2 linked regions of the Arabidopsis thaliana genome follow. The protein of the gene in region 1 interacts with the protein of each later gene in a pairwise test. Each region holds a gene or a part of one and is shown on either strand. Other genes may lie near its edges. The genes, in order: PUB45 and RK3.

The links.
Region 2: the proteins of PUB45 (region 1) and RK3 interact in a two-hybrid assay, tested with the Arabidopsis thaliana proteins (one study listed by BioGRID).

What each region holds. Positions count from the first base shown.
Region 1 is NC_003070.9:9,720,228-9,726,674, reverse strand, and holds PUB45 (plant U-box 45), read left to right. Parts: upstream 1-1,874; 5' UTR 1,875-2,244; intron 2,245-2,637; 5' UTR 2,638-2,699; coding exon 2,700-2,750; intron 2,751-3,011; coding exon 3,012-3,197; intron 3,198-3,290; coding exon 3,291-3,398; intron 3,399-3,536; coding exon 3,537-4,693; intron 4,694-4,908; coding exon 4,909-5,713; 3' UTR 5,714-5,942; downstream 5,943-6,447. Other genes in the region: AT1G27900 (RNA helicase family protein), read left to right, coding at 6,329-6,447. UniProt on the Arabidopsis thaliana protein: Functions as an E3 ubiquitin ligase.
Region 2 is NC_003075.7:11,388,266-11,394,797, forward strand, and holds RK3 (receptor kinase 3), read right to left. Parts: upstream 4,962-6,532; 5' UTR 4,826-4,961; coding exon 3,529-4,825; intron 2,648-3,528; coding exon 2,513-2,647; intron 2,424-2,512; coding exon 2,230-2,423; intron 2,152-2,229; coding exon 1,941-2,151; coding exon of another isoform or gene 1,936-1,940; exon of another isoform or gene 1,850-1,935; coding exon 1,612-1,849; intron 1,516-1,611; coding exon 1,365-1,515; intron 1,281-1,364; coding exon 954-1,280; 3' UTR 562-953; downstream 1-561. Other genes in the region: B120 (S-locus lectin protein kinase family protein), read right to left, coding at 6,193-6,510. UniProt on the Arabidopsis thaliana protein: Involved in the regulation of cellular expansion and differentiation.

The sequences.
Region 1 (6,447 bases):
ATAGCTTCTTTTTCTTTGTGGCTTAGATTTTGGTTATCAAGTTCTTTCTGAATTTCCCCCCCCCCCCCCTTAAAATTCCTCTGTTTTTTTTTTGTATCAGTGATAGATTTGCATATGCTCATTATCATTAAAACTAATTCCTCTGTTTTAGTATCAGTGATAGATCAATATGTCCTTACAAAATTTATATTATTTTAGCCGTCGTTTTAAAATTCTTGTATTTTTCATTGACCACATCTGAGGTTTAAATTGTTACTCGTGGACAAATTTCCGGACGTTAGTACACTTTATAATGACTTATTTGGTACGTCTCATAAATAAATAAGAAGAGGAGAGCCTCAACTAATTAACAAATAGTAATAAATTTGCAGTCCTATATATGTACGATCCAACAAACCAAAAGTTCTAAACGATTCTCAGACCAAACTCAACTTTTTTGTTGCTAATAGGCGATAGTTCATTTATATTTACAAAAAAAAAGGACAATGTTAACCTTTAAAAAAAAAACGACAATGTTAACCTTTAAAAGTTTTTAAATATTATCTGTGGATTAATTTAATATTTTATGGCAAAACTGGAAAATAATGTCTAAATCATTATAAATTTTGGGATATAATAATTCAAAAAAAAAGCGAACATGGTTGCCAACAAATAATTTCTGAAAAAAACATAAAAAACAAAAAATAATAAAGGTTGATTCAAAGAATATTAGTAAGGGAGAAGGTATTATTGTAATTTAGGATATTCAATGTAGAGATCTAAATAGCCGACATATGCATGTATTGTCGGCGCGTGTCGGCCGTCGAAGTCGGCAAATCTCTTTCAACTCTCCCTCTACACAAATTCAAACATTAGTGTTTCAGTACTATAGATTTAAAGTTCAATTCAAAATAATATAAAATGACTACAAATCAGAGTCGATTTATTCATATTTAACTAATTCTTTTTACCAACATTTCAAAATTAAACCAATGACCATCATTTTGGTTTATTTTTAAATTATAATTCCTAGAACATTCGGTAATTAAAAAAGGAAGACAATATTACTATTTACTACAATATGTAGCCTTTTTTTTGACATCGAATGCATTGTCATTTGTCAACAGTACACAGTACACATGCTAAGAAAATATGGCTGACGATAAACTTCTTACATCAACCGAGTCCACTCGAACCCGGTGACAGAGAGACAACCAATGGACTAAGACCACTGGCCCACAAGTCCTAGTCAATGAAGGTGAACCTAGTTGGTTTACAGGAAGAAAACACGATGCAGTTTTTTTTTTTCGATAAAGAATATAATATGAAAGACGTGTTTATTACAATATGAAATGTCGGTGAAAATTGGACCTCTCATTGCCCCTTCGCCATACTTTATTTATTTTTATTTATATGATTAGTAAAAAAAAAATGTCAAAAAGCTTTTTATTCTACATCATTGTATCTATTTTATTACTCATTTTCAACTATCAGTCGACCAAAAAAGAAACTATATAGTATACAAGCCGAAAATCCAATATTAGAATGAAATGTTTTTTGGTAAATAATGATCAACAGTTTCAGTTTCAATTGAAGAAGACTTGGAAACAAAACAGAACAAAATTTGATTCACTAAACTACATTGCATTTTGACTTTAAACGGGCAACACCATAATGATATGTTTTTATCGCATCCAAGAAATCGAAATTATGAGTATCTTAAGAAGCTTTTTTCTTAATAATTAAAATGTCTCCTAATAATACCGTTGCTAAATTCAAATCTAGTAATACTTAAAAATCATTTGAAAAATTAATTGAGTTGATTAATGATTAAACAAATAACAGAATCTTTTTTCTTACAAAGAACATAATTAAAAACAAAACAAAACAAATCTGTTGTGTGTACTTGCGACCTTGCAATTGCCACTCGCAAGTTTTGGCTTTATTTTGACTTGAGAAGAACTTCTCCTCTTTTTTTCTTTCACTAAAATATTTATTTTTATTTTCCTTCAAAAAATCTCCATTCGGTATCAGCCATAGCCAAACCTCTCTTCTCTCTTATTGTTGGGATCGACAAATTTTGCCTTGATTAGCTCGGAAACTTGTAAATCAGAGACCCTCGTAGAAACTACCCAGAAACAGCATCTCCAAGGAACAAATTAATCATTATACTAATGCCTCTGATGCTCTTCTTTTGATTTTGTGATCGACTTCTCTTTATTAAGTCTACACCTACCAGATGCAGATTATAGGTTCATTTTTTTGGTACGTATGTTCCTCTGTTTTTCACCCGATTCAAAAAATGGATTTTTTTTTGTTTATCTGGGTATTTGCTGGAGGAATTAATCAGATTGCTTTTATGGGTTTTTTATTTTTGTTCTTGTGTTCTGATTCCCTCTGTTTCTTGACAAACAAGAATCTTCCTTTGTTGATATTTGGGGTTTTGGTATTCTCATGATTTTGCATCTAATTTGTTTGTTGAAATGCCCCAACTAACCACCTTTTGTTGCTTTTTCGTATTCTTTGCTCTGTTCTTATATACTTTCTCTGTGCAGAACACATTGCATTTTTTAGGAAACACTGATCTATCTGGCTTGTCTGCTATAGATTAGTTTATTTGTCAACTTGTCACTGATTCGGTTCTTTTTCTTCTTGTAGTATTGAACTTTAAGCCGATATAGAGTTGTTGTCATAGATATATACAGCGAGTTATTGAAGCAATGGATGTTAATGAGGTTGAAGAAAATTTCTTTGCCCCTGGTGATGCCAAGGTATCTTAATCAGACCTTTTTTCCAATAATGTTTTTGTTGAGATATCTCCCTAAGACATTAAATTCTTGGTCCTGTAACTTGATGTCTATATGTATCCGTCTTTGTTTCAATTAATACTCTCTTCTGGTTCTTGATTTTGCTCGATTGATCCTGTGATGTACAATAAAATATGTCTAACAGATTCTTGGTCCTGTGGTTTTTAAATACGTGTTACCTATTGCTGTAAGTGTAAGGCATTGGCTAACTGATTCCTGTTTCAGCTACACGGAAAAATGTGCAATGCCCTTTCAGTGATCTACTGCAAGATCATGTCTATTTTCCCGTCGCTTGAAGCTGCTAGGCCGAGAAGCAAATCTGGAATTCAAGCTTTGTGTTCACTTCACGTGGTTTTAGAAAAAGTGAAGAACATTCTACGCCATTGCACTGAATCTAGTAAACTTTATTTGGTAAGTTTTCTGTTTAGTTATGTCTTAAAGATTTCAGAACTAATCCAGTTCTTCTTGTGGAGATTCTCGCTAACTAGCTGGTTTGACATGTAGGCTATAACAGGGGATTCAGTAGTTTTGAAATTTGAGAAGGCGAAATCATCTCTTACAGATAGCCTTAGGCGTGTTGAAGATATAGTCCAACAGTCTATTGGATCTCAGGTAGTTAGTTCTTCGTGTTCCCGTATCTTGGTACTCTTGTTTTCTTCTCTCACAGCAAGTGAATGGAAAGTTAAAGCAGAGAAGCAATATCTCTAGAGTTCAGTGCTTTTATTTTAACCTGTATATCCTACTTTGCAGCTTTTGGAGATTTTGATGGAGTTAGAGAACACCGAGTTTTCACTTGATCCAGCAGAGAAGGAAATTGGCGATCAAATCATTGGATTGCTGCAACAAGGGGGGAATTTTGAGAGCTCATCTGATAATAATGAACTTGAGGTTTTCCATCAGGCTGCTACTAGACTAGGTATCACTTCTTCTAGAGCAGCTCTCACAGAGCGAAGATGCCTCAAGAAACTCATTGAGAGGGCCCGAATGGAGGATGACAAGAGGAAAGAATCAATTGTGGCTTATTTATTACATCTCATGAGGAAATACTCAAAGCTATTCAGAAGTGAGATCTGGGATGACAATGATTCACAGGGTAGTAGTTCATTGCCTTGTTCACCTACTATCCAGGGTTCTATAGACGATGCCCATGGTCGTGCTTTTGACCGTCAGCTGTCAAAACTGAGTTCCTTTAACTTCAGATCCTGCAATAACAATAGGAGATCTTCGCAGATGTCTGTTCCGCCAGAAGAATTGAGGTGTCCGATATCTTTGCAGCTTATGTATGACCCTGTCATTATCGCGTCTGGGCAAACATATGAGAGAATCTGTATTGAGAAATGGTTTAGTGATGGACACAACACATGTCCCAAAACTCACCAGCAGCTCTCTCATCTTTGCTTGACTCCTAACTACTGTGTCAAGGCTCTAATTTCTAGCTGGTGTGAACAGAACGGCGTTCAGGTCCCTGATGGACCCCCTGAGTCTCTAGACCTTAACTATTGGAGGTTGGCGTTGTCTGTGTCCGAGTCCACCGATACGAGATCAGCAAAACGTGTTGGTTCTTGTAAGTTGAAGGATGTGAAGGTGGTTCCTTTGGAAGAAAGTGGAACCATTAAAGAGGAAGCCTGTGAATCAGAATACCAGGAAGATCAAGTTACTCTTGTTGAAAGATGTACGGAATTGTTGACCACTTTAACTGACGTGGATACCTTAAGAAAGAAATGCAGAGTTGTTGAGCAGATAAGAGTATTGCTAAAAGATGATGAGGAGGCCAGGATTCTCATGGGGGAAAATGGGTGTGTTGAAGCGTTGCTTCAGTTTCTGGGATCAGCTCTGAATGAAAATAACGCTTCAGCCCAAAAAGTTGGAGCCATGGCTCTCTTTAACTTGGCTGTGGACAACAACAGGTATGTGAGCAAACGATGTCTCGTTTTCTCTCTCTCAATGATCAAGCACCTAACTTAAATTAGTCTACTAACACATTCGGTTATCTTGAGAATATTGCAAAACTATAGATGGGCTAAGATTTCAAGTTTTCAACAACAAAATCAAGTGGGTTATTCTTATCTTGCCAACTGGAAGATTATATCTCATTTCCGTTGTAATTTTTTGGGAATTTCAGGAACAAAGAGTTGATGCTAGCATCAGGAATTATTCCTTTGCTGGAGGAAATGCTCTGTAATCCACATTCCCATGGTTCAGTGACGGCAATTTATCTGAACCTCTCGTGTCTTGAAGAAGCAAAGCCCGTAATAGGTTCGAGTCTGGCAGTTCCTTTCATGGTAAATCTTCTTTGGACCGAGACTGAAGTCCAGTGCAAAGTCGATGCCCTTCACTCCCTTTTTCACCTGTCCACCTACCCTCCCAATATCCCCTGCCTTTTATCTGCTGACCTTGTCAACGCCCTTCAATCACTCACTATCAGTGATGAGCAACGGTGGACAGAAAAGTCCTTAGCTGTTCTACTTAATTTGGTATTGAACGAGGCAGGAAAAGACGAGATGGTTTCAGCACCTAGCCTTGTGAGCAATCTCTGCACCATTCTTGACACGGGTGAACCAAATGAGCAAGAACAAGCTGTTTCTTTGCTTCTGATATTATGCAATCACAGTGAGATCTGTAGCGAGATGGTTTTACAAGAAGGAGTGATACCTTCTTTGGTATCTATCTCCGTAAACGGTACTCAACGTGGAAGAGAAAGGGCACAGAAGCTACTGACACTATTCAGGGAACTGAGGCAAAGGGATCAAACCCATCTCACAGAACCGCAGCATACAGAAGTCACAAGCCCCGAGGACGGATTCTCTGTTGCTTCAGCCGCTGTAACAGAGACAAAACCGCAGTGTAAATCAGCCTCGAGAAAGAAAATGGGAAGAGCATTCAGCTTTCTATGGAAAAGTAAGAGCTTCTCAGTTTACCAGTGTTGAGTCATGTCTTTATTACCTTTAGTTGATGTAAAGTTGTACTTTGTTTTCCCCATCTCAAGACTTATATCTCTTTTTGAAAGTCTTGGAGGTAAAGAGAAAAGAAGCTTGTATAGGTATGTAGTTTATATCCAAGGATTTTTGGGTTCTGGTTATACAAATTGTCAAATTACAATGTACTTGTTGGGTGTAGGTTTTATAACTACTAATGAGAAATATTTTTACTCTGAAAGCAACTTTGTCATAAATTAAAGGACGAGATACGAAATTCATAAAAGATAAGACCAAGAGCCGCTGAACAAAGGAGAGGGTCTTAAGTACACTTGTGGCTTGCTTGATTTTTCTCGCTTTATTTTCTATTTTTCGATTTTCATATAATATACAGAGAAGATTTTGAACGGAAAAGGTTTAGGAAAAATGTGTTGTTGATTTGAGATTTCTCGAAGTGTTGGTGAGCGATTAGGGTTCTGTATTGTGAATCTATCGCGTCGTTCGTCGGAGAATGAATTTCGTTGTACAGAGATTTTAGACTGAACCTAAGCAGAACTTGCAGGTTACAGTTTCCTTTCGTCGATCGATTGCTGAACTTGATAGGTTCTTTGAGTGTTTCTCTGCGATATGGCGAACCTTCCGATCCTTCAATTTGAAGAGAAGATCGTGGAAACAGTGGAGAAGAATTCAGTGGTAGTTATAATTGGAGAAACCGGTTCTGGGAAGAGTACTCAGCTCTCTCAGAT
Region 2 (6,532 bases), on another chromosome or scaffold:
GGACAACCATTAAGAGATCACGAATATATAACACTAATCATCTCTCAAGAACCCGACCAAAAAAAATCATCTCTCAAGAAATTAATTATCTATGCTAAATATTCTAAATTTCTAAACTCTCATTTAAAATTTAAATTAGCAAGCATTCATGTCAATATTAATGTGCTCATAAATCACAATTCTGTATATCAACTATCATTATTAAAGGACGAGCTACTCATCAAAGGTTAATTAAGGAATTTTGACAGAACACTTTTGATGCATAAAAATCCTTATGATCTAAAACAATTTTAATCAAGCCTCTCCAAACATTGAAATTGCGAACACTTTTGATGCACAAAAATCCTTATGATCTAAAACAATTTTAATCAAGCCTCTACAAACATTGAAATCACCTTGAAATGAAGGAAAATTTGAAATCACCTTAAAATGAAGGAACCATGAAGGATTTACTCTGTCATCAGTTAAAAACAAAAAATCCACTATACCCCCATGATCTTCCTAAAGCCCATAAATTAAATCCACCGGATTTTGGCCATGGTTAGCGATGGAAATAGGTGTTGCTGATCATAAAAAATTCTTATAACGTATGTACTTATTAAAAAAAAAATCTATTACAACATGTACAAACCTAATCTCAAAACGTACAACCCGAAATTCTACTAACCAACAATATTTGCCTCTTCTAGTAGCCATAATTTATAATATGAAAGTCTGAGAATCTTTCAAAATATCACATTGATGTCCTATAACTGCAGGACTATTTGGGTTATCCATAAAGCAATTACAGAATACATGCTTAATTAAGACAATTGAATCATGTAGTAACCTTTGCAACGGAGACGTACAGAGAAAATACTATGCACATAACTAATACCATCTTTCCTAGTTGATTCTTATTGTCGCTCAATTTAGTCATCTTAGTATAGAAGATTGGCTAGTTGACAGTCACATTACCGAGCATCAAGGACCGAGACAGTAATTTGGTTCACTGTCCATGATTCATCGTCGCGCTGTTTACTCGACGAAGAATCAGTGTCAAGAAGACTTCTCTCCAGGCAATAACCGGGCGCTTTAGGTTGAGGAATAGTTGTTGATTCGCTTCCGAGCATCAAAATTACCAAGGACATAGTTGGTCTGTCCTCTGCACGTTCTTGAACACACAAGAGGCCAATTTGTATGCATCTTAAGATTTCATGTTGCCTGAATGTTGATGAAGAATCTGTGATGATTGGATCTATGATCTCTAGCCCTTTTCCTTCTTTCCAATTCCTCCACACCTGTGTATAATGATCGAAATTTTTCTAGTGTTATCATTATTTTGAGTGTAAAACAAGATCAAGTTTGAGAGGTTTTTAACTTACACAACCGAGAAGGTTAAGGTCACGGTCCGAATTGTAGAATCCTTTGTTCCTCTTGCTACTTATAATCTCAAGAAGCAAGACCCCAAAACTGAAAACATCTGACTTCATCGAGAATATCCCGTCCATTGCATATTCAGGAGACATATAACCGCTGAATAACGAAGATTAGACTCAAAGTTTTGAGTTATTTTTTTTTAATTCAGATTTCAAACAAAGATTTTTAATATTTTGGAGAATGATTGCTTACTAGGTTCCAACCACCTTCCTCGTATTAGCTTCTGTCTCATCCCGTCCAAAGATCCTAGCCATTCCGAAATCCGAGATCTTTGGAGTCATATATTTATCAAGCAAGATGTTACTTGCTTTCAAGTCTCTATGGATAATTCTAAACCGTGAATCTTGGTGAAGATATAGAAGTCCTCGAGCAATACCATTGATGATATCAAATCTCATTTGCCAATTTAGCTTAGAGTTTCGGGATTTGTCTGCTAATGAATCATCACTGGATTGAGTACATTATTTTTAAAGACATTGAAAAATTGTTAGAACAGAGTTGTAAGGAGTTGAGACACTAACCAAATAGATGAGAGTCGAGGCTTAGATTTTCCAAGTACTCGTAAATCAACATCTTCTCACCCGCATCGACGCAACATGCAAGAAGCCTAACAAGGTTTATGTGCTGAAGCCTTGCAATCAACTTTACCTCATTCTTGAACTCATCAGTCCCCTGAACTGATGTCTTTGATAGTCTCTTCACTGCCATTTCTTGACCATCAAGTAACTTTCCCTGTAACCCTTAATTTTGTTACACAACGAAATATTTGTCCAGCGATAGATTATGAATTAAGTTTTCAATCATTTTTACCTTATAAACTATACCAAAACCACCTTGTCCTAGCTTGTTGGCGTTAGAAAAATTGTTTGTGGCCATGGCAACTTCTTCAAACTCCATCAATGGCAATTCGAGATCGTCTGTATTGTTTTCTCTAGATATGTGTCTCCTACTTGATATTACAACTTCGTTCATTAGCAAATCTCGGCTTCTCAGTTGATGATCAACTGTTACATACAGACACCAAAAACAGTAAAGATATTAGTTTTAAGAAATTTACAAACAAAAAGAAAGGAATTAAAATTTACAGATATACCAATAGGTGTTTCGATTAGTATTGATCGCTTCTGCTTCCTTTTCCACAAGAAGAAGATAATGAAACTTAAAAGAAGCAAAACGCTCACTCCAATACTCGAACCTATGATTTTTGCACTTCTGTTTCTTTTGTCCTCTGAAATAATGAAAAGAGATGTCAAATTGAGCACAACATTTAGGACCTCGACCATGGAAATGAATATCATTTTATAAAACAAACTAGTATTAGTCTTATGATTTAACAAAATAATAAACATTGTCGTACTTTTGATTAAAGATAAACGCCAACAAACAAAAAACAGCGTTATACTGTTATCGCCAATAAAAACAAAACATAAAGATTGGTCTACCTAAAAATAATTTCTTTTGGCTTTGGATCTACCTTACCATATTATTCTTGAGATTGATAAGTTTTTGTGAAGAATATAGTAGTAATCAAAAGTTTCACTCATGCGTTGCATCTTTTAAGAAGATTAAAAGTCCATTGGACCTTAGTTCTTTATCACAAGAGTTTTCACATATAATGCCAAGACCGAATGCGTCAACATCTCAATCAAGTTTAAGAAGTTTGAAAAGAGGGAAAATAAAACTGAAAAACGTTTTGTTAAATTCCAAATTCGTTAACCAACAACAATATAACATTGACTTGCACTATTCAACACCATTCTCACATTCTACCCCAAAAAAAAAGTGCTTTATCTAACAACCAAGTTAATTACTATTCTTGAAACCCTTAAAAAACGTTTCTTCCTTTTGTCGTTTAAGAAAATCTTTAGTATAATGTGATAGGATTACTCAATAACTTGATTGGGCAGTTTTAGCATCAATTTTTAGTCTTACTGACAAAATCTTTTATGATGTCTTTTTAGTTTCTAGTATGTATAAAACTGTTTACATGTTTTGAAAAGTGATCTTGAAGACTATTATCAACCGTTACTTAGCAAAAGTAAATATGTGGAAAATGAAAACCAAACATATGTCATTTAGTCTAATAGAGATAGTGGAGAATGAACTAACCGAGATCAGTAGCAGCCAATCTAACGTAAAGATCTTGACCACCTTTGGCATAATTCCTGATATCAAAAAGCTCTCCGGTCCAAGTCACACAACCCGACCCGCTACCCCGGATATCCGTATTCGCAAACGCCGTGCAATTACAATCTCTTAAACACTTCTGTTCACATTCTTTCACACCAATTCCTCTGTCCACACTAGCCGTGGTAGTATCCGGCAATTTCATTTTCTTCAACCGCACAAACCCATCTCCGCCACCACAGCTCAGTAGCGTCTTCCTCACGCAACCATCCGACCCGTCTCTCAATCCCCACACTTGAGGATTCCTCGGCTTAAACCCTTTAATACAATTACAAACAGGTGAAGTGTTCGAGTCGCAATAACCGTAAACACCACACTCTTTGTACTCATCACATTGGTCTTTTGGTGCGTACCAGAATTGGTTCCAATTCTGTGCTGTCTCAATCCAAGTGAATCTTTGTAACAATCCTGAGGAGCTTATGCTTAATCTCGAGTAAACGTCGCTTTTAGTGATTCTAAATGAGTAAGTCACTTCTTCTTTACTCGTAGTGAAATTGAAAACCATGTATTCAAATGGTTGCATCTCCGGTACACCACTAAACCGGATTCCATTCCATGGACCACTCCGGTACATTCGTGATTCTCTGTTCCATAGAAAAATCTCAGGGAAGCCTTCGGTTTCGAGTTTGAACGAGAAATCTCCACTTGATGGATCATCTGGAGATTTCCATGATCTAATGAATCTGTTGAACCCGGTTTTGGCATCCCAGCCAAGTTTCATCTCCGGAAGTAAAGTATCTGTCGGAAAATCAAAACTCTGCCACAAAACTCCATCTGGAGCGCTGTTCTTGGAGTCTCTGAGCACAAAATTACCATTATCAAGAAGCTCTGCCACCAATGGAGATCTCACATCTCCTCCGGTCAGATTCGTCGACCAAACCGGTGTATCGGACTGATCCAAAACGACAAGATTACTGTCGGAGATTTTGAGAGTTCCGATGGAACTAGAGAGAGGAGTGTCTCTGTTTGCAACCCATACGTAGGTTCTCTTAGAGATTGCCTTGTACCAAATTCCAAGATACCAACGAGAATCTAAACCGGGTTTGAAGAAACCAAGCTCGAAGACATTACCAGGAGACACAATGGTGTTATTGCTTGAGATAGTTAGAGATTCTGAAGCCGACAAAGTGTTGGCAGAGATAGAGTAAGCAGGGAACAGAATTAAGAGGAAGAAGAAGAAGAAGGTGTAAGAATGGTAGAAATTTGGTAAACCTCTCATTTCTCTAAACCAAGTTTTTTGTTTTTCACTCTTTCTTGAGAAAAGTATGAGAGTTTATTTCCATTGGAGATATCGGACATGTTTTGTGTAATGTGTGAACCTTACGTAACCGATTTTATTTCTGTCAATAATATATTACCTTGCTTTTTTTCTTTTCTTGGTCTTCTTGTTCGCATTTGGAAAAAATATCTAGTTATGTACTATGTGTACAGTCCAATTCATAGTTGACCTAGCAAATAAAAAGTCTTCTTCTTCTTTTTTTTTGTCAGGCTTTCTTTCCTTTTCCAATAGTCATTTTTACTTCATAAATTCAGAATTTTTCTTCAAAATATGATATTATTGATGACCATTTTTTTTAATAAATTACTTAATATATTGCTTTTTCGTATTTTATTATCAGTCAACCTTTTGTATGCATGCTTCGAGAGTTATATAAATTTCAGTGTTCTTTTTCGTAATAAATAACTCAATTTTTTTTTTATCCTTCCCAATAAGAACTTCAATGTTAGTATTCATCAAACAAACCCTACTTTAATTTATTTCCGCATTCTCCGAAGACAAAAAAGAAAGGGGTCGTTTCACGTTTTCCTGACTTTTTCTTTTTTTCTCTAACTCTAAATAATTCATCATTCCATTCAATTTAATAATGAGTCTACATTTGAATTATTCATCACCAAATATAATGTTGTCCTATGCATTTTGTTTGACGATTTTTGGCTTTGGAGCTTGGAGGAGAGGAAAATTTATGTTAACACGGTTTTAGGTATATTATATAAGTATGAAATACGAAGACCGAATACTCTTTTCACCATCAAAACAGTACTAATTACCATAGTCAACGCTCCAAAAGTCTTATTTTTGAACATCCTCATAATTCTTCGTTCCTCGTTTGATTTATATATAATAACTCTATACATAAAAATCAATCACATTTTAATTAAATTAAACACAATAATCCTACAATATTTGAAACAACTCACCTATATTTAATAGAATGAAAAACAATTATTATGATCCTCATTTCAAAACTAACCTAAATATTTTAAGACTACCACCTTTGTTATAGTATAAACGATTTATTTGAAGATTTATTTCAGATAAATGCTTTTTGATATTTTATCTGTTTTCATTTGTTTATACTTGTAAATTGATCCATTGTGATATTTTTGAAAAAGAATAGTGTGGTGATTTTTTCAAAATATCAACATCATACTGTAATAAAACCCCATTTGTAATGTTTCACTTTATGAACAAAATTTCAAGTTTCAACAACCATTACTCCATTATCCTAATTAACCAAAAAATATTATACGTTTTCACAACAATTATATAAAAAAAAACTTTACAAAAGAACAAACAAAAGAATCTTATCGTCCAAGAACAACCGTTGAAGTGATCTCATTAGAAGAAACGATGTATTGTTGGCTCGAATCAAGAGCAAAGTTGACATCAATGGAGTTTCTTCTGGTGGAAGTAAACGTTGGTTGTCTAGGCGCAGCGAGCGTCGCTGTGTCACTCTCTAACATAAGCAAAACTGAAGCCATGTTGGGTCTCTCCGCAGCCGAATCTTGAACACATAGCATCGCTACGTGTATGCATCTCAAGGCCTCTCGCTTACTGCATGTGACCCTGATCTTAGGATCCACAAGCTCCTCTGATCTCCCATGAGTATACAAATACCAAGCCTGCAAGCATTCAGTTTCCACC